Mus musculus: one gene and its partners. The protein of the gene in region 2 purifies or fractionates together with the protein of the main gene of each other region. This does not show direct contact. Links are inferred from orthologs where the notes say so. Each region holds a gene or a part of one and is shown on either strand. Other genes may lie near its edges.

Region 1 (2,887 bases), on a different chromosome or scaffold from region 2:
AGAGACACCCTTAGAAGTGAGATGGGTTCTGAAGACCGGCGCTTGGGTCCCACCTCTAACCCTTACTCACTCTTGTTCTAGCTGAGCCACGGGACACTTGTACTGCGCGGTGCTGAAGAGGCAAATGTCGGCGTACTGTCTCACTGTGGGGGCAGGGGACCAAGTGGCTTTGGGTGACACAGACAATTCGGCACCACAACCCCCGACCACATGGTGGAAACCCCATGGGGGCAGCACACCTCCACCTTCCACCCCTGGCCAACAGACCTACTATAGTAAACACTAGGGCCATGTATCTCTTCTGGAACAGACTCAATTCTTTATGGCCCGGTAGGTTTCCCACACTGCGACACGGCCTGGGCTGACATGGCAGCAGCAGCCTTTCTAAGTAGGGACTTCCTTCCCTATCCCCATGCCCACCCCCACCTCCTACCAGACACTCTGATCTTCTTGACGGTCTTGGCAGAATTGTTGGTGACATGGACGTTGACATTAAGGGGCTCCCCGTGGTAGTACAGCTTTTGAAGAGAAGAGATTGCATCGCTTGTACCTGTTTTTTTTTTTACTGACCCCACTGGCCTGCTCCACCCCCAACTCCTACCCACAGTACCTCTACCCAAGTAAGGCAATAGCCTTAAGAAAAAAAAAAACAACAAAAAGCCTCCCAAATCACCATCTTGCCTGTGGCTTCACCCCTCCTCCCAGGAGTCTGGCCTGCTTTGTGACATCTTTGTCACCCTCTCACACCTCACCTCTTTGTCCAGGGAAGCCTCTAGGTGGAGGGACCTCCGGTCAGACATGAGGAAGTGGCGTGTGGTTTCAGCTGAGGGCTGGGGACCGGGTGTCTCAGGAGCAAACTGTACCTTTCTGATGATAAGCCGCACAGAGTTCCTGAGTCAGGGGTTGGAGGAGGGGAAAGACTTAGATTCAAGATACCACAAGCCAATTCAGATTCCTACCTCCCACTGGGGTCTGGGGCGCTGTGAGGCTGGGTGGGAGCCGTTAAACCAGAGAGAGAGAGAGAGAGAGAGAGAGAGAGAGACAGAAAGAGAGAGAGAGTGAGTGAGAGAGCTGTTTCTCTTACCTCTTGTGACTTTTTTCTTCTATTGATTTGGCACAGAAAGCTCGAATCTCAAAGTCTACTCCACAAGCCTTGGGAAGAGGAGGAAAGGCCACCTCTTACCCAAGGCTCCCGGTACCACATCCAACACACCCCCTCCTTCCTCCTTGCTTCATTCCTGTTGGTGTGGATTTTTTGCCTCATCATGGAAACAGAGGAACTCTCTTGCCCCACTGTCTCTCTCTCTAGCCTGGCATCTGGCAGAGGCTGGCTCATGGCAGTGCACAGAGGAGACCCCATACCCAGCCAGGTACATGCAGGTCAGAGAACAGATTCAGTGACCACACACCTCCCTGGGGATACCACCCTGTCCTCAGGAGCCCCCTACACTTCACCCTCCAGCTCAGCTGTGCTTTGTGTATCTAGCTGAGCCTGGTTCTATTCACATATTGTGAGAGTCGTCCCTCCCGTACCTTCCCTGTGTCCTCTGGTCCTGGCTGCAGTGTGACGGAGCAAGGCAAATTTTGGGGTATCTGTGGCAGAGGAAAAAGGAGGCGTTTCAACTGGTAACAGGTGCCTCATCCCATGTCAATCCCAAAGAGCCCCAGACCCCAAGCCCTGCGGGAAATGGAGAGCATCCTCACCGTGAAAAAGAAGGGGTGGGCGTGTTGGCCCAACTTCTTCAGCAGTCGGTCCTGTAGGCGGGTGGGGGGCCGAGGTGGGTTGGGCATGGGGGGGAAGGCCTGGTAGGTGGCGATGAACAGATCTTTGCGGAAAGACAGGCCCAGTACATCCAGGTCTTCTCGGCCATAGCGGAAGGCACAGGTGAGGGTCACGAACACTGACAAGTAAGGGTGAGTCAGGGTGATTAGGAGAAGCCCCTTTCTTCACGGCACCCACATCCTTCTTCGGCATAACAGACTTCCCGGAATCCTATTCCCTGCCTCTGATGCTGCCTTCCTTTCCTCTCTTATCAATGTCAGCCCATCTAATGTTGTCTTCTCCCCTCCAGCATACATGTAGTACCTTTCCGGTCCTTCAAGTAGTCAGGATCCACAAGCACCACGCCATCTAGGAAAGAGAGATGGATTCATTTTCTGAAGGGGGCCACTCCCAGACCCAGGAATCACCTCCCCTCTTGCAGGGGTGATGTGTTGGTGCCATCTAGGCAAACTTACCCACAGGGTCCACTTTGTCCAGGTGATCTACAAAGTCGCGCTTGCCCAAGTACACGGTGAGCTGAGGAGGTCAAGGGTCACAGGGGAAATTGGGGAGGATGGTGGCAAGCCACCAGAGTTCTCAAAGGTGGGTGTCCTGTTCTGGGCTCCCCTTGGGTGGGTTATCAGGAAGGATTGTCTCCCAGTATGACTGGAAGGTGAGATTGGTAGAGTTTTCCAGACAACTTAGTAAAACTTTCGTTTAAGCTTTTACCTGCTTTCCACACCTCTGCCCACCCACGGAGGGTCGGTACACATAAGTGTGTGTTTATGTGTGTTTCTATGTCTTCAGGGAACACTCAGCCAGACCAGGCAGGTAGCAGCTGTCCCCACAAAGGGCTCTGAGATAAACAGCCCACAGCCTGGGAAACTATTAACTATTCCTAGCTCAGGCACCCTGGGTTGGTTTCTAAGAGAGTTACAAGCTTGCTTAGGAACCCAGACCCCACCCAGCCCTGTGGCTTCTTCAGACTGCGGCAAGGGGCTTAAGGAGGGAAGGAAGTCAGTCTGCTTTTAGCTGTCACAGGAAGTGGGGAGCAAAGGCTTGGGGATCATCGAGGGCTTTGATCGGGCCCAGGGAGGATCAAAGGGTAAGCATCGAGGGGGACTC
Region 2 (3,513 bases):
TGGGTGCTGCGTGTGGTCACCTGGGGAAAGCACAAAGCCCAGCGGGTGTGGGCTGTGCTTTGATCAGAGAGGCAAAGCGGTGGAAGAGGACGCTACCGCCACAGCCACCTGAGCATCTCACCTCCACCCCCCTGGGGTGCTGAGAGCAGATTAGGGGGATACCCTACCTATTTGCAGGAATGATGCTTACAGAAGCAGATTTGGGGCCCTTTTGGGCGGTGCCCACTGCCCGCTGTCTTAGCTGGGCTTCTATCTACTTATTCCAGTTAGTCTGGGGCAGAGAGGGGAGGTGGAGCTCTGTCGAAGGGGACAGTCACCGAGAGCTTCCCTCAAAGCAGCTTTGTGGGGCTAGAGGTGCAGTGCAGTGGAGGGTGTGTCCTCAGCACTGGGACCCCCTGAGGACCCCTCCCCGCCCCCCCCAGAGAGGAGGAAGATGACTATTACCTGGGGGCTCATCCTTCCCCATGAGACTTAGAAACGACACTTTCTGGGGATGCAGCTAGGAGACCTGAGGTTTATAAACCCCAGTCTGACTCGGAGCTGAGGCTGAGGCTCTCAGAGTGGACAAGCACCTCGTCCAGGACGACCAGCAAACTGGTTTCAAGATACAGGACTGGAAGGAAGCGCTCTGGGAGCCAGACCTAACCATGCAAGCCTTGACTTAATTCTAAAATTTAGATTTTTTTTTAACAGGTCCCCTGTTCTCACTCAATAAGGACATAGCCTATGCCTTTGTTTTGGCAAAACAGCAGCTGAAGTAGCCTTTAAAACAATTTAAGGGGGCTGGAGAGATGGCTCGGAGGTTAGAGGACCTGGGTTTGATTCCTAGCATTCACAGAGCACCTCACAACTGTCTGTACCTCTAGTTCCAGAGGGATCTGACACCCTCTTCTCGTCTCCACAGGCACCGGGCAGGCATGTGGTGCACATACATACATACATGCAGGCAAACGCTGATACATTTAATAATAATTTATGTGGGAGGTTACGCATGACTATGTGCGTGACGCAGTACGATACATGGCTACAACAGAATGGATCAGCCATGCCGTCTCGTGCCTGCATTACCTCACATGCCCACTTCTTTCTAACTTGTAGCCACCCCGGGTTCCAGCCAGCCTCAGCTTGAGGCTTACACTCCACACGGCATTACACAGAGCTGCAGGACAGAACCTGGGATCAGAGCTGGCCCAGAGCTGGACTACCCGGCCTTTTCTCCCACGGACAGGCTAATGAAAAACAACCAACCAGACGGGGAGCCCTAGGAAGGACCATCTGCAGCTCTCCATAGAGAAGTGCTTCATAAATGCCCAACAGCGACAGCAATCCCGCGTAGGCTAGCACTCTCCCAGAGGGAAACCACAGCTTCCTGGGCTGTGCCCGTTTCCCTGAATTCCTTCTGGGAACCTAGAAAATTATTGGCTTTGTTTTTTTTCAAAATAGAGACCCCCAGATCTGCAAGACCACTTTAAAGGTTCAATTTTAGCATAATGCTCATTTTAATTGTGCAAGTCTACTCACACAGAGAAAAACCAAGGCAACCTTCCATACTGGCTGTCTGTCCTTTAGGAGTGAGGGAGGTACCTCAGAAAGACTGCAGAGCCAGAGGGCAAAAGCCAAGCCTGGAAGGGGGCTAAAGGGACAGCTGGGCAGGAGAAAGTGCAGACTGCCAGGATTCAAATGTTCTCTGAGCTGCCTCAGAGTCACAGGCCCCTCTCTCCTTCAAATGGAAATACCCTACTCCCTCAGAAAGAGGGCAGTGCTGCCTCTACAAAGGCCTGGGTTCACACAGAGCTTGTACCATCTTGGTGGCTATGTTGGGCTCCTGAAATCAGAGAAGGTGTCCCGGACCTCACCCTTGGGAACAAGGCCAGGCAGGAGTGGGGACCAGCAGACAATGAGCAGGTGCCATAAATTGCATAGGCCTGACCTGGGGTGGGGCCCACAGATTCCAACGAAGGTCGCAAGGGAGGATCTAGAGCCCCAACTGTCCATGGGGACCAGAGAGGCTTGGGCAGTAGTGTTCTGGGTTCCTCAAACTTCTTCACGAGAAGATAAGGGGCCTCAACCCTGGCCCCGAACAGGCCGCCAGGACAACGTGCCCGCCTAACAGTGCTCAGGCAGGTGCCTGGGCACCATGACCAACTCCAGTTTACATAAAACATCAGAGTCCTAAAAGGCTCCTGGGCAGCAGAGTGGAGCCAGGGGTGTGAAGCCTGAGGCCCGACCACACCAGGAGTGTATCAGAAGACAGCTAGGAGCTGTGAAGTGCTACCTGCATGTGGTGAGACTATCCCTGTTGGGAAGCTGCACCCTCTCACAGAGAGCGGCAGCCTGGCCCAGCCAGGGGCAGCCTTTAGAGTAGCTACAGCCTACCTGGCCGGAGGGCAGATCCTCATCACTGCTCTCTGAGGACCCTTCTATGCTCTTCTCTGGGGACGCTGGACCTGACGCTTTGCCTCTGGCAGGCTGGGAGATAGCATCCTTTGGAGGGGACAAGACTTGAGTAAGCACGTGACACGGGAGGGTTCCCAGTGAGGGGAAAATGCGGAAGAGTGACACTTCTTAAGCCCTGTTAAGAGCATTCTTCACGGGCCGGGTGGTCCAAAGCCACAGAACTTGTCAATCAGTGAAGAAGAGCTGGTGGTGATGCCAACTTAAGGGAGGCCCAGGGAGGGCTCTATGTCTCCCTGCTCGGGTGGCCTGTGCTCAATCGGCAAGTAGGACTGGGTTTCTCAGGAGAAGCTACAAAATCTCCACTTATATGTGACATTCCCTTTGTTTCTATAAAGCCACGGTCGGCTGAAACTGACAAGGACCAACCATTTTCTTTCTGATCTTGCTGCCACCTCCCTAAGGTGCGACACCAGAGGCCATCACGTACCGATTCTACCAGGCTGCCTGAGCTCAGACTAGAGACTGTCAGCCAGAGCAAGCCCCACTGCTCGCTGCAACCAACCAGGCTGAGAACTGGACAATGGTTTGAGTATGAGACAGCTTCTCTTTCTTTTCCACTCCTTGGGCCTAGGCATCACTGAGCGAGACGGGCCCTTCTTAGACAGAGACTTGCGCCGTAGCCCAAGCTTCCTGGTGACTCTGACAGGGGTGTCTTTGCAGGATAGCTCCAGGTTCCTCAGCAGAACCTGACTCAGCTTGCATGGGACTGCCGTGCCCAGTGCTGCAGAGGCCCCTGCGGAGCTGTAGGAGTACCTAGGATGTCCTATACTAGGATGGCCTTGGTTTGGGACTTACAGCTCATTTCATCCAGGGGCATGGTGGGGAGGACCTGGAGGCAAGGGATCCTGGAGTTAGGACTTCTATCTGTTCTTTCTCCCCTCTGGGGCACGATCTGTTTATGAGCAGAGTTGGTGACGGTGGCTCTCGGGCCTGGCAGAGCTCACCTGGGCTGATGGCATCTCTGTGTCACTGTCAGACTCTTCACTACTGCTGTCTGAGTCCTCTGTCTTCCCTGGCTGGGCCTGGGTAGCTGAAGATCCCGTCTTGCCGGGGGTT
Region 3 (4,064 bases), on a different chromosome or scaffold from region 2:
GGGTCAGATTCTGTTACTCCTTGATCAAATGTAATCTGTCAGCCAGGCATGGTCCCAGCACTTCAAAGAAAGAGGCTGGCAGATCAGTGAGTTCAAGGCCCACCTGGACTACATACAGAGTTCCAGACAGCCAGGGTTATGTAAAGAGACCTTGTCTCAAAAGTTATGCTATCTCCCTACTTAACTCAAAATGGATGTTACATCTTAAGACTTTTCCTACTTGTATAACTCAGGAGGAAAATATTACGCTTACATATCACCTAACTTTGAGCGTGAAAACTTTATGGTATATCCCTGTGCCTTTCCATATCTTTTAAAGTCTTAGAAATGTTGTACCAATTGATAACAGAGCGTTAGCTGAGGGCTGGAGAGATGGCTAAGTCGCTGAGAGAGCATGTTACTCTCCCAGAGGACCTGAGTTCATTACCAGCACCCAGAACAGGAGACGCAACAGTACCTGTTAACTCCACATACAGAGCTTCTGACATCTCTGGCCTCATAATTTCTAACTATTAACTTTTTTTTTTCTAATTAAATGACTTTTAAAGGCAGAAAGGCAGGGCTAGATAGGTGGCTCAGTGGTTAAGAGCACTGTCTGCTCCTTCAGAAGACCCAGGTTCAACTCCCAGTACTCACATGGCAGCTCTCACACAGACAGACATGCAGGCAAAACACAAATGTGCAGAATAAACTGTAAGCAAACAGAAAGGTGCGAGGTACGGTGGCACGCGCCTTTAACTCTAGCACATGGAAAGGAGAGGCAAGCAGATCGGAGTTTAAGCCAGCTTGGTCTACATAGTGAGTTCAAGGACAGCCAGAACATAGAGACCCTGCCTTAAGGAGGGAGGGAGGGTGCCGAGCAGTGGTGACACACACCTTTAATCCCAGCACTTGGAAGGCAGAGGCAGAGGCAGGCGGATTTCTGAGTTCAAGGCCAGACTGGTCTACTGAGTTCCAGGACAGCCAGGGCTACACAGAGAAACCCTGTCTCGAAAAACCAAAAAAATAAAGTAAAATAGGAGGGAGGGAAGAAGAGGAGAGTAATAATGAGCACTGGCTAGATGGTCCATCAATTCAGAGCACATGGAGTTGGGGGGGGGGGTTGGGGGATGTATTACCAGATCACATGTCAGGCTGTCCCGGCTGAAAGAACTCCCTTATTATGAGACTGACCTGATCTTTCCTTTTGTGGCAAAAATCACCTTTTTGTATTTTGCTACAAAGAAGTAACCTATCTCAAAAGATCTGGTGGCCTATAACCCAAGAGTCCCAGGATCTAAGGCCTACAGCCTTTCAAGGTGTTTCCACGAACACTACAGCTTTTCTTTCATTTTTTTTCCCCCTTATTTATGTGAGTTCATCTTTGCTGTCTTCAGACACACTAGAAGAATGGGCATCTGATCCCATTACAGATGGTTGTGAGCCACCATGTGGTTGGTTGCTGAGAATTGAACTCGGGACCTCTAAAAGAGCAGTCAGTGGTCGTAACTGCTGAGCCGTCTCTCCAGCCCGCTACAGCTTTTCTTAAGGTGCAGAGTAAACATTTTGCTCTTACATAACAGCTGTCACTCACCCCATGTTCCTGTGTGCCTACAATGGAGTTACTACTTTGTGCATTTTTCTCTCAGTGAGTCTCATTCACTCAAAAGCTGTAAATTGGGCTGAGCATGGTGATATACACCTTTAATCCCAGCACTTGGTAGACAGAGACTGAGCTGAGTTCAAGGCCAGTATGGTATACAAAGTGTGCTGCAGGGCAGTAAGGCACTTAGCATGAAGAGGCTGTGACAAGAGGTACAGAAGTTCATATCCATCCTCCACTACACAAGGACTACATGAACTTTGTCTCAAACAAAAGGCTGCTGGGATCATACATGCAGAAAGCCGCAGAGCCTGGCCTAACATCACTACCTGGAGCTCCAAGCTCAGTGCCAACTTAACACAGGCGGACGCTCACTACTCCTAGAGTATACTGAAAGCAACCTATCACCACACTCATTCATTTTTTTCTTTTTAAAAAAATAAGTAAATACAATATGAAGTCCTAGCTATCATTACTTCGCAATTTATCCCTGCACTCACTCATCTTCTTTTGTAAAAACAAACAAGTGTATAAATAGAATCCAAGCCTTCATTACTAAAATCTTTGAGTCTCAGGTAAAACTGCAATTAAGGGTAAGTCCAACAAAAAGTACAGAAGAACCACGCACCGCCAACCCAATGCTCCCGGAGGGATCTAGCGCCACATGTCCTGGGTCACGAGGGACCCATGCCTGTCACCGCTGCAAAAACTCACACCAAGTAAAAGCCGTAATACTCGGAGCTAGCTAGTCAGACATGGTGGAAGGAGACACCGAGACCTCCAGCCTGAGGAAGGTCCGCAGAGAAGCTGGGCAGACAACGGACTGACAGACCCCAGCCCTCGCCTCCTTAACTTCTAAAGCCGACAAGGCCTAGATTAGCTCGGAGAGTCGTCCCACCCCGGCCCGCAGACCAAACCAAGGACTCACAGCGCCGGTCGCTTTTGCAAATTTACTGGCCACCTCCGAGAGTTGGCTATCCCGCAGAAATCTGAGCACAAGGGGATAAAGGTCGCTGGGAACCACGCGGCGCAAGCCGGTATCCGCCATGCTCCGGGTAAAACGCGTCACTACCGTTGCGCACGCGGCACGACTTAAGAACACCAAAGCACAGCCCGGGTCGAGGGCGGGTCCAGTGTCGTCATCAAGTCGCGCGCGGCGCGCAGCGGAAAAGAGTGGCGCACACGAGGTCGCGTACCCTCCACCCGGGAGGAGAGACCCAGACTAAATCTAGAAGTTGCTTCCGGTCCCACACGCGTCATCATCCTGCAGGGGGCGGAGCCCACGAGCCGCCCACTAAGGAGGCGGAGCTTCTACGTCAGATGCCACGCTCCTGTCCGAGGCGGGAAAACTTGCAAATTCCCGCGCATTACCTTTGCTGAATGGGCTTCTTCCTACTGTAGATTTCCAAGCCCTGGCTGCTACTGAGACCTCACAGTACTGAATGGACTAACAATAATGGGTGCACTGGAGAACTCGAGGCTCTTTCAACCCTTCTAGAGGTGTCACCTACTGCTCAAACTCCCACGGACAATGGCTTCCTCCCTCCCTTCACACCCAGTGAAGTCCTTCAGGATACCACCCAGACCCAGACTCAAATCAGAGGATCCTAAAAGTTGTGGTGACAAGGTGTTGGTACCCCACATTGTCTGTCAGTCATAGCTAGGTTACAAGACAGTTATCCTTCCCATCTACAATTCGGAGAACAGGAACACGGGACCATCCCAGGGAAAAGATCAAGAAAAATCCTTTCTTCCTAAAGAAAGAAGTCACAGTGAATTCGGAAAACTTCAGTATCAGCTACTGTCCAGGTCAGGAAGCAATAAAGATGCACTTCCGGTGAATACCTTTCTTTTACTTTCCTCAAAACAGGCGCTCCTTCTAAAAGGACCCGTTATCCTATTTCCCAGAGGTGCTTCTATGCATACACAATCGTTTGTTTGTTTGTTTTGGCTTGTTTTTTTTTTTTCCAAGACAGAAAGGTTTCTCCGTATAGCCCTGGCTGTCCTGGAACTAACTTTGTAGACCAGGCTGGCCTCGAACTTAGAAATCCGTCTGCCTCCCGAGTGCTGGGATTAAAGGCTTGCGCCACCACGCCCGGCCTCAAAATCGTTTTTTTTAAAATACACACACCACCGGGCGGTGGTGGCGTACACCTTTAATCGCAGCACTCGGGAGGCAGAGGCAGGCGGATTTCTGAGTTCGAGGCCAGCCTGGTCTACAAAGTGACTTCCAGGACAGCCAGGGCTACACGGAGAAACCCTGTCTCGGAAAAAAAGAAAAAAAAAAAAAATTCACAAACCAAGATGGTGATCAAAACCAAACTGGTGAGCTTTAATGACACTTAATAGACACTAACCCCAGTTGAGAAAACTTTTATTCTCATAGGTATGGTGGCAAATGATTTTTTTGTTGTTGTTTTGTTTTGTTTTTCCGAGACAGGATTTCTCTGTAGCCCTGGCTGTCCTGGAGCTCACTTTGTAG
Region 4 (4,233 bases), on a different chromosome or scaffold from region 2:
AGCCACTCTCCAATGGCCTATGCTCCCTGTGGGATCCCTGTTAGGGTTCCACCTTGGTGCTCGCCTACTCCACCCTGGGACTCCTCTCAACCCAGGTGTTTCTGCAAGTGAACTGCAGTGACAGTTTTGATTAATGTTTATTACCACTTCCTCCAACCGACAGGGATACAGGTGATGACTCCAGAGCCTAAGAGTATTTTAGTCAGTATTTGCAATGTCCCTTCCAATTCACAAAGCAAAAATCTTATGGCTAATGGAACACAATGAAGAAACTCTCTTCTCGAGCTTACCTTTCATATCCAGATAGATCTAGAAAGAGAAAGGCAGAATTCATGGAGCCCAGGGAGGGGAGGCAAAGATGGACAGGTGGGGGTTATGTAGCTAGTCTGTATTTCCTGGCATAGGCAGCTCCTACCTACTCCTATGTCCAGTGAACTCAGTAAGCTTTGGGGAGCATTGAAACCCAAAGTTCTGATTGCTTCAGTGTACAGGTGGGAACACTGGGTCTGCCCTTGAGTTAGGAGCACAGCAGGGGGAGTCAAGGACAAAGCTCTGGCCTCAGACAGACTCTCCAACAGGTGTCTGGAGGCTCACAAGGTCCTCATCCTATGACAATTCAAGGTATCAGGGAGCTGTGACACTTCTCCCCTAGTTACAGAGAGGCCCAGCAAGGCTGAGTCACCCCGGTCACCAGCAGCACTGGAGAACAAAGAAGAATCCAGTGGCTGCTGACTCCCTGCTGTGCTCTGCAGGGAGCAAAGCTCGACCTTGCAGCGCCAGAGGGTCTCTAAGTGGGGAGGGGGACAGGTGTGGCTGAAGAGAGCCGCATCCTAGCATCCTTCCTCCAATGACTGAGGCCTAGGTCACAGTGTTGACCAACCAGTTACGGTGGCCCTCAAGGTTAATGCAAACACCTCATAGCTCTCTGCAGTCTCCCAAAACTGTGTCTCTGCACCAAGTGGGTCCCTTGCTAGTCCTTACACCCAGGGTGCACACAGTGCAGCTCCAAGGAGAGCCACAGACACAGTGGACCCTGGCCTCTGCCCCCTCCTGACCTTCAGCAAGGCAAGTGACCTTTCTCACCCTTTGGTTCCTCTTTGGGAAACAAGAATAGGAAAATTAACCTCCAGGAAGGGCCATCAGTAGGAAGGCTGGTGGGAGGCAGTTTCTAAACATGAGGTATCTGAGCTACCACTATGCCTCAGTTTCTGCTCCTGGGAAATGGGAATAACCTCTGTAGCTGCTTTCACTCACTGCTGAGGCTCAGCTGTCAGTGGGCAATGAGTCATTTTGTTTAAGGGTCCCAACATGTGACTGCAGGGATGCTTCCTTTCTGATCATCTCTTATGCCCTAGGCTATGCCTAGTATACAACAGGGGCTTAATAAATAAATTAATATCAGAAGAAAGGAGGTAAAGGCAGAGGGAAGGACACAAACAGAAGAGTAATAAGGAAAGCAATGGTAAACGGCAGGTGCAGGGAGGCTAGAGGAGGGGCCAGAGAAGATGGCAAGGAGACTCTCAAGGGCCAGGAAGGTGAACCAGTCTGGTCATAAGGGTTGACCCCACGAGCTTCCCTGCCCCTCCCTAGCCCTCCTACTTTGACCTAGTTTCCATTTCGAGGGCCTAACCTTTCCTCTCAAGGCAAGCTCTACAAAACAGTTCCCGTCACCCTCCCTCAGCTACATGGAGCCCCTAGCTATGTGCTTTGGAGGACAGAGGGGAAGAAAGCCATGTGAATGGGGACCTGCCTTCCAGGTCTCAGAGCCTTCCACTCTGTGACCTGTGTTCCCGGCCCTGCTATGAGGAGTCAGAAGTGAGTGTATCCACTGCTCTGAGGATGTCAGTCCCTGCAGGCATTTTATGCCTTGCATGTGTGTGGTTAGCCTTGATGTGTCACTAAGACCTGTGGCCACATCGTGTCACGTCAGAGAGGGTTGACAGACTGCACGTACTAGCTTAGACCGTGCTTTGCAGCACCCAAGTGCCAGGCTACGTATGTCGGTGTATGCCCGCATGTGTGTAGCAACACGAGGGTGTTGTTAGAGCTGGTGCGTGTTCGAGTGGGACCTGTGTATGCTAACAGGACTGACAGCAAGAATGTGTTGACAGACTGGTGTGTGCGTGAGAGACCGTATGTGACGTCGTCGTGTCACAAATGCGAAGTGTGGCAACGACTGTCAGTGTGTGCCTGCAGAAGGGTGCTCATGTGTTTATGAGCTTGTGTGTTGTGTGTCAGCCTGCCCCAGAGCGTCCTGAAGTCTATCGACCAGGGCTGGGTGTGTGAGCTCGTCTCGGCCAGGAGCCGTGAACCCAATGGGGTGGCCCACCCTGGGTGCCTCGGTACACATGGTTCTGGCCAGAGAACCACACAAGAGACTTGGGAGGACAACAGAGTGCCAGATCCCGGGTGACGCTGACTGGAACCTCCGCCCGTGCCCTCGCCCAGGTCGTCCCCACGCGCGCGTGGGACAGGGCGGCCACCCGCACTCACCGTGTCCCTTTGTCGCCCATGGTCCGCGGCGGCCGCAGGGAGGTCCGCGGCGTCAGCGTCCAGGCTGGAAAATCCCCGGCCGCCAGGAGAAGCGCGGGCCAGCCCGCTCCCGGCTACCCCGCTCCGCCTCCTCCGCTGTCGCCGCCGCCGCCCCCGCCCGGGTCCCCGCCCGTCGCTCGAGCAGCACAGCGCCCAGGCCGCCGCCAGGGGCGTGGAGCGTGCGGGTGTGAGCGCGCGTGTATGCCTCCGTGCGCGGCTCTGCGTGTGCGCGCCCAGAGAGTGAGGGCTGCGTGGCCGGCCGCGGCTGGTCCACGGGAGCGCGTGCACGCAAGCGCGTGCCAGTGCTGGTGCGTGTGCACGGCTGTGCGCGCGAGCCTGTCGGGAGGTGGGGTGTGGAGAGAGAGAGAGAGAGAGAGAGAGAGAGAGAGAGAGTGTGTGTGTGTGTGTGTGTGTGTGTGTGTGTGTGTAGAGGTAGCACGTCTTTGTGCAGTTGTGTATGTGTGCTCACAGTCGTGGGTGCGAGCGCTCTCTCCCGCGCACGCCAGGACTGGCCTTTGTGTCTGCGGATAGAAGCAAGCGGAAAATCCGCAGACTTCAAGGCCCAGCCTCAGAGGCGCCCCTGTGTGAGGACAGCGAAAGATTCCAAAAGCCTAGCCAGGCCTTCGCCCTTTGCTCCACCCTCCCCACCCCCGCCCTTCTGGAGAGATACCACCCAACGACACAACAGGGACAGGAAGAAGGGGTGGGGGCGGGCAGCGGACTGCAATGCTGGAGAGCAGATGAGAGTGGAAAGGGGAGGGGCAGGCAGAAAGAGGAAGCAGTGAGAACAGGAGATAAAGAAGGGACCGAGAGCCAACTAGCTGGTGGCCTGTAGCATCTAGCATCATTGATATAGCACCCAGGCCTAGCTTAGGTGCCTGTAATGACTCTGGACACCACTCAGCCCATTTCAGGTCTATTGGCTGGGTCCTAAGACCAGCAGATGTCCTGTTCAATTGTTGAAGGAATCTGCTTGTTCTTGCGGGCAGACACCTGCACACAGCGGTGTCCAGCAGAGTCTACTGTCTGCAGCTTTCTTGGTATCCTTGGAAACCTTGACTTTCCTTACGTTTCCTACCCCTGGAGAAGTAGCCGGTGTGCAGTGGGAGGGTAGAGTTCAGAGGCTAAGAAGGGGTAGGAAAGGGTTTGAATCCATTTTCTCCTAGAAGGGATCTTGAGGCAGTGGGAGGAATGTAAGGTCCTCAGCCCCTCACTGCTGGAGTTTGACTAATTGGCACTGATAGGTCCCTAATATCGGAGTATTAACGATAGGAAAGGAAGCTATCATTTACTCTGATGCAATTGCGGGGTCTGGAAACATCTCCTGTAATTATGTTCAGAAGCAGTTACCTATGCTGTTTACATAGAGTGTGCTGTTTATAGAATTGGTAATAATATCCCAGGATAATGACTATAATTATGTCCAGATTGGGGAGGGGTGGGTAGAGGCTAATGGACAGGCAGGGTGGTCCACATCTGGGCAATGGTAAGAGCTAAGAGGAAGTGGATTAAGGTCTGTAACTTCACCTGCCCTTTCTTAGCCTCTGGGATCTTCCCTTCCTCCAACCAGGGCAGAGCAGGAAGCCACCTGACCCTTCTGCAGGCCGTTGTGGGGGGCTCTTGAAAGGAGCAGAGTAGGGTTCTCTATTGATAGCAGGAAGCAAACTTTGTGAGCTCAAAATCAAGAGGCCTGGTCTTGTA
Region 5 (4,212 bases), on a different chromosome or scaffold from region 2:
GAAAAACTATCAAGCAACTCATCTCTGAAGTTCCTCACAAGAACCATGGGAAACTACTAACCCTATGTTTCCTTAAACACACTGGGGCTTACACACACCTGAGCACTGTTCCCTTCCAAACACTCCACAGCAAACAGCACTTAGTCCCAAAATGCTACTGCACAGACATTTAGACATTTCCCTGAAATTGCTTTAGACTTGGCAAATTCAATCCTCCAAATGTGCAGCAACAGAACATGGATATTCCCAACTATGCTTGTTTTTGCTTATCCTTAAAATGAAAATGTCTGAAGTAACTTCTATTCAAAACAGGTTTATGTAAGTAATGAAATTGCATGGTTTCCTCCAGCAAGTTCCCTGAAGGAAACATTTCTCTGCTTAAAACACACCCCTCCCATAACTACAGACCTCCAATGTACAACTCATACTTAGCGGGGCCAAGCTCCCTATCTGCCATCATTCCTTCCTTCTCACCCCAGTGTCTTGGGCAGCAGCAATAGCATCACCCATCTCTGCAGCAACTCTGCTCCTTCATCACTAGGCCAGGATGGTAAGGAGCATTAGCAGCAGCCATTTTTTTTGAAAGGTGATTCACACAACGCTAAAATCTACACAATTAAATAAGAACTGCCCTAAGGCACAAGCTTTTCAATCCTGCATTTTTGTTCACTGGGCACTGTGAAAATCTGGTGAAACACTACCACTCTCCAGTGCTCTTTCACTAGTGACACACATACATGTTAAGTGATCTGACAACATGAAAAACTGCCCAGATCCTAAGGTGACAAGCATATGCATTTAAATGACTTGACAACCATGAAGAACCGCTCAGGTCCTACGAACCACCCTCTCGAACAACCTACAAAGCACTATTGAATCTTCAATCACCTGTACAGAAACTTGGCTGACTCTTCATGCTCATTAAGATCATGTCTTCATTTGAGTGATAACAAAAGCCCTATCATTATCAAAGCGAGAGGGCTAGTCTTGCCACAGAGACAAGTTTTGTTCCAGTTATTATTTCAGGGGCTAGAATGTACTCTTCTGTTGCCCCAGATCTCTTAGCGGCTGGCTTGCTATATCCAGCCCACCTGAAACTTTACTGCTACATGAAATGAAAATATCAACTGAGGGAATTGTCCTGAATTTTTGGCTTTAAACTTATCTCTGAGCAGACTCCAGTTTTGTTTTGTTTTGGGTTTTCCGGACTTTTTCTGGAGTAACTGGGAGCAGAGAGTAACGAGTACAGATTTAGAATCCCTACAGTTGACAGATTCTCCATGCAAACTCCTTCCTCTCTTGCGAATACCTCTTTATTCCATATCAGATACAGTCCCCCCTCACAAGCTTTGTTTGAGAAGTTCAGAATTCACACTTTAAATGTTCCTGACCTACCAAACTCAGAATTAAGACCAGCCCGCACATTTTCTCAAAAGTTCACAAGGAAAAGCATGGTAGGAGTCCTGTAGGAGATGCTTATTCTGGGATAGCTGGTTCTTTTGCCCTGTGGGGGGAAAGGTTACATGCCACCGTTGGCCACTCACCTTGAGAATTTTTACAACCACCCTCTCATTGTTGGTGATGTTAATGGCCTCAAATACTTCACTATACTTGCCCCGACCAAGTTTTCGAACCAGTTGGTAATCATCTTGATTACTGTGAAAGGCAAGAGATATACATAAATGCCAGGATTTGGGATTAAGCAAGCCTCTGTCCACCACACATCCATCCGCCATCTCCAACTAATCAAGCATTCGGAAGTATTCCTACCATCACACAGCAACTCATTCTCTTAAATGAGAGCCACACAGAAGCTTGGCTCCCTTCACTCTGCAGAGCTCCTAACCTAACTGACTCTTAACAAGAAGAGGAATGGGCAGCTACAAGGCCTCAGGAGCCATTAAGGGGACTAAGGGAAGCATCCCCCCTGGTGGTACTGGGGTGCCCTGCCCGTGGCTCCACGGCACCTGCCTCCCATTTCACACCTTCCAGGGGGCACTGCCCGCTCTAGACAATCTGCCCCTCTTCAAAATGACCCTCCCACCCAGCCTCATTTCAGAAAGTAAAGAGGTAGAGATTTCAACAGCTCAAGAGGACAGCCATGGACTTCCCAACCCATAGGAAGCCCAAAGTCTGAGGAGGAAGGGCCGCCCCCACCCCCGACCCCACGCTTCTCCCCACCGGCGGCTGAGCCGGGGACCGAGGCAGGGCGGACAGGAGAGGCCGGGGACACGTGCGGCCGGGGCCGGGCCTCCCTGCCAGCCCCGAGGCCGAGCGGCCGGCGGGTGCGGTTCGCGCGTGGGGCGGCCGGCGGCGGCTTTACCCCCAGCTCGGGACGTGGGCTTCGTAGTCCCAGTACTCGCGGCTCCTCAGGCTGTTCACCTCGGCGTAGACCCGGGCCCGACTGCCCGCGGCCGGGCCGGGCATGGCGGGCGGGACCGGGGGGCGCCGCGGGGCGCCGAGGGCGGCGGCGGCGCGGCGCGGGGCGCGGGGCGGCAGGCACGGGAAGCGGCGGGCCGCGGGCTGCCCAAGCAAGAGGAGGAGCGCGGCGGCGGCGGCGGGCGTCCGCGCCAGGCCGGGCCCGCGGGGGCGGGCGGACGGACGGACGCTCGGGCCGGGGGGCGCGGAAGGCGCCGGCCGAGCCGGCCCGGGGCCTTCGGCTGCCGGAGGGACGGCGGGGTTCGTGCTCCGCGGAGGCCTCCGCTCGGCTCGCGGCCCCCCAGAGGCGGTGGTGGCGGCAGCGGCAGCCACCGGTCGGGAGAGGGGCAGCGGCAGCGGCGGCGGCGGCGAAGAGGGAGGAGGAGGAGGCGGAGGAAACCCGGAAAAGGGGCCGCACTCGCCAGGAGCGGCCGCCGCCCAGCCCCGGCCCGCCCCGGCCCACAGCGCCCCCTACAGTGCGGGGGGACTATGGCCGGCGCCCGCCCCCTCAGCGAGCTCGCCACCCTCCAAGCAATGTGGCCGGCTGCCTGCCCAACTGCAGGCCACCCCCCAGAAGTCTCTACCTTTGACTGCCGCCGCGCTTAGCATAGTTCCACTGTCCAGTCACCTCGTGTCCACCCACCACGACCTCCCATATTGGCCCTGAGCTGACTTTCTTTGAAACCCAAGAACCCTCCCCTCAAACTGTCCCCCTTCCTCACTCCTCTTCCCACTCTGGACCCCACCCTGCCATCCACAGATCCCTTCCTTCAAGAGGAAAACCAAACTAGTCCTAAAGCTACCCTCGCCTCCCAATTCCCCATCCAGATTCCTCCCTGAGAGCCCACTGAGCCATCCTTTGGGCCACTTGCTTAAACCAGAGCCCACCAGATAGTTTCCCCATAAAGTTAACTGGGTTTTTCCCCCTTTGTATTGAACCTGTAATTTGTGGATCATACTTTGAGAATGTAAATATCCATTTTGTTTGTTTGTTTGTTTGGGAGGAGGGAGAGCTGGGGAGTGAGGACTTCTTGAACAGTCTTCTCTCTCATTGATGTCCTGGGGTCCCCGGCTATCTTGTTTTCCTGTTCATATTCTTTAACAACAAGGATCTCTTCTTCCAGCCCAGGTTGCTCTGACTCTAAACTCCCCCTCTCCCTCCCCCCCACACACTGTTTTCTAGATGAGGCCACGTTTCCTCTTTCTTCACATACCGAACTATCGAGGTTCAAGTCCCGGTTCCATAGTTTGCAAGGAATGCAGATTTGAACCAATGACTCAACGTCTCCGTGCTACAGATTTTGTAGCATCAACCCAGCACCGACTTCACAGAGCTGTACAGAGACTAAGGACTGCTCCATATTAAAACACTACATGTTCCCGCTGTTGTTAAACTCTACACCTTTCCTTCCCTGAGAATAGCGCATGCCCGTCTTTCAGTTTCTTCTTCTCTCTGAGCTTGGCCACGGGGTACCGCTGCCACCCCACAAATGACTGGCTTTCTTTTTCAAATCTCACCTTAGAGGCCACTTTCTCTGAAGTTGATACTTCTCTCAGCGACTCCTCCATGCCCTTCGTAAAACTACAGCTTGGCATGAGTCCTCTCCTGGTTTGCCATCTGTCCCCTCCCTGTGAAAACAATGTGAAGGCATGACTAGGGCTGGGTGATCACCACCAGGTCACTCAGTGTCTGCCGGGCAGGAGGCCTTCAGTCAACACAGTGCTCTTGGCCCACGGTTACCATGCTGGTTACAAAGGGGACCCTGAAGGTCATATTATGCATGGACCAGCTGA

The links.
Region 1: the proteins of Tcof1 (region 2) and Arrb2 purify together in Homo sapiens (affinity purification with western blotting; 4 studies listed by BioGRID and IntAct, with this or other methods). This does not show direct contact. The link is inferred for Mus musculus from reciprocal best matches to the Homo sapiens genes TCOF1 and ARRB2.
Region 3: the proteins of Tcof1 (region 2) and Nolc1 purify together in Homo sapiens (affinity purification with western blotting; 4 studies listed by BioGRID and IntAct, with this or other methods). This does not show direct contact. The link is inferred for Mus musculus from reciprocal best matches to the Homo sapiens genes TCOF1 and NOLC1.
Region 4: the proteins of Tcof1 (region 2) and Arrb1 purify together in Homo sapiens (affinity purification with western blotting; 5 studies listed by BioGRID and IntAct, with this or other methods). This does not show direct contact. The link is inferred for Mus musculus from reciprocal best matches to the Homo sapiens genes TCOF1 and ARRB1.
Region 5: the proteins of Tcof1 (region 2) and Csnk2a2 purify together in Homo sapiens (affinity purification with mass spectrometry; 3 studies listed by BioGRID and IntAct, with this or other methods). This does not show direct contact. The link is inferred for Mus musculus from reciprocal best matches to the Homo sapiens genes TCOF1 and CSNK2A2.

The regions. Positions count from the first base shown.
Region 1 is NC_000077.6:70,435,575-70,438,461, reverse strand, and holds part of Arrb2 (beta-arrestin-2), read right to left. Parts: intron 2,300-2,887; coding exon 2,239-2,299; intron 2,132-2,238; coding exon 2,087-2,131; intron 1,902-2,086; coding exon 1,705-1,901; intron 1,594-1,704; coding exon 1,534-1,593; intron 1,153-1,533; coding exon 1,085-1,152; intron 892-1,084; coding exon 753-891; intron 519-752; coding exon 434-518; intron 208-433; exon of another isoform or gene 144-207; coding exon 71-143; intron 1-70. UniProt on the Homo sapiens protein: Functions in regulating agonist-mediated G-protein coupled receptor (GPCR) signaling by mediating both receptor desensitization and resensitization processes.
Region 2 is NC_000084.6:60,824,964-60,828,476, forward strand, and holds part of Tcof1 (treacle protein), read right to left. Parts: coding exon 3,402-3,513; intron 2,485-3,401; coding exon of another isoform or gene 2,377-2,484; intron 1-2,376.
Region 3 is NC_000085.6:46,074,596-46,078,659, reverse strand, and holds the start of Nolc1 (nucleolar and coiled-body phosphoprotein 1), read right to left. Parts: upstream 2,814-4,064; 5' UTR 2,631-2,813; coding exon 2,511-2,630; intron 1-2,510. UniProt on the Homo sapiens protein: Nucleolar protein that acts as a regulator of RNA polymerase I by connecting RNA polymerase I with enzymes responsible for ribosomal processing and modification.
Region 4 is NC_000073.6:99,534,059-99,538,291, reverse strand, and holds the start of Arrb1 (beta-arrestin-1), read right to left. Parts: upstream 2,807-4,233; 5' UTR 2,514-2,806; coding exon 2,494-2,513; intron 1-2,493. UniProt on the Homo sapiens protein: Functions in regulating agonist-mediated G-protein coupled receptor (GPCR) signaling by mediating both receptor desensitization and resensitization processes.
Region 5 is NC_000074.6:95,486,021-95,490,232, forward strand, and holds the start of Csnk2a2 (casein kinase II subunit alpha'), read right to left. Parts: upstream 2,801-4,212; 5' UTR 2,428-2,800; coding exon 2,324-2,427; exon of another isoform or gene 2,182-2,323; intron 2,141-2,181; exon of another isoform or gene 1,657-2,140; coding exon 1,545-1,656; intron 1-1,544.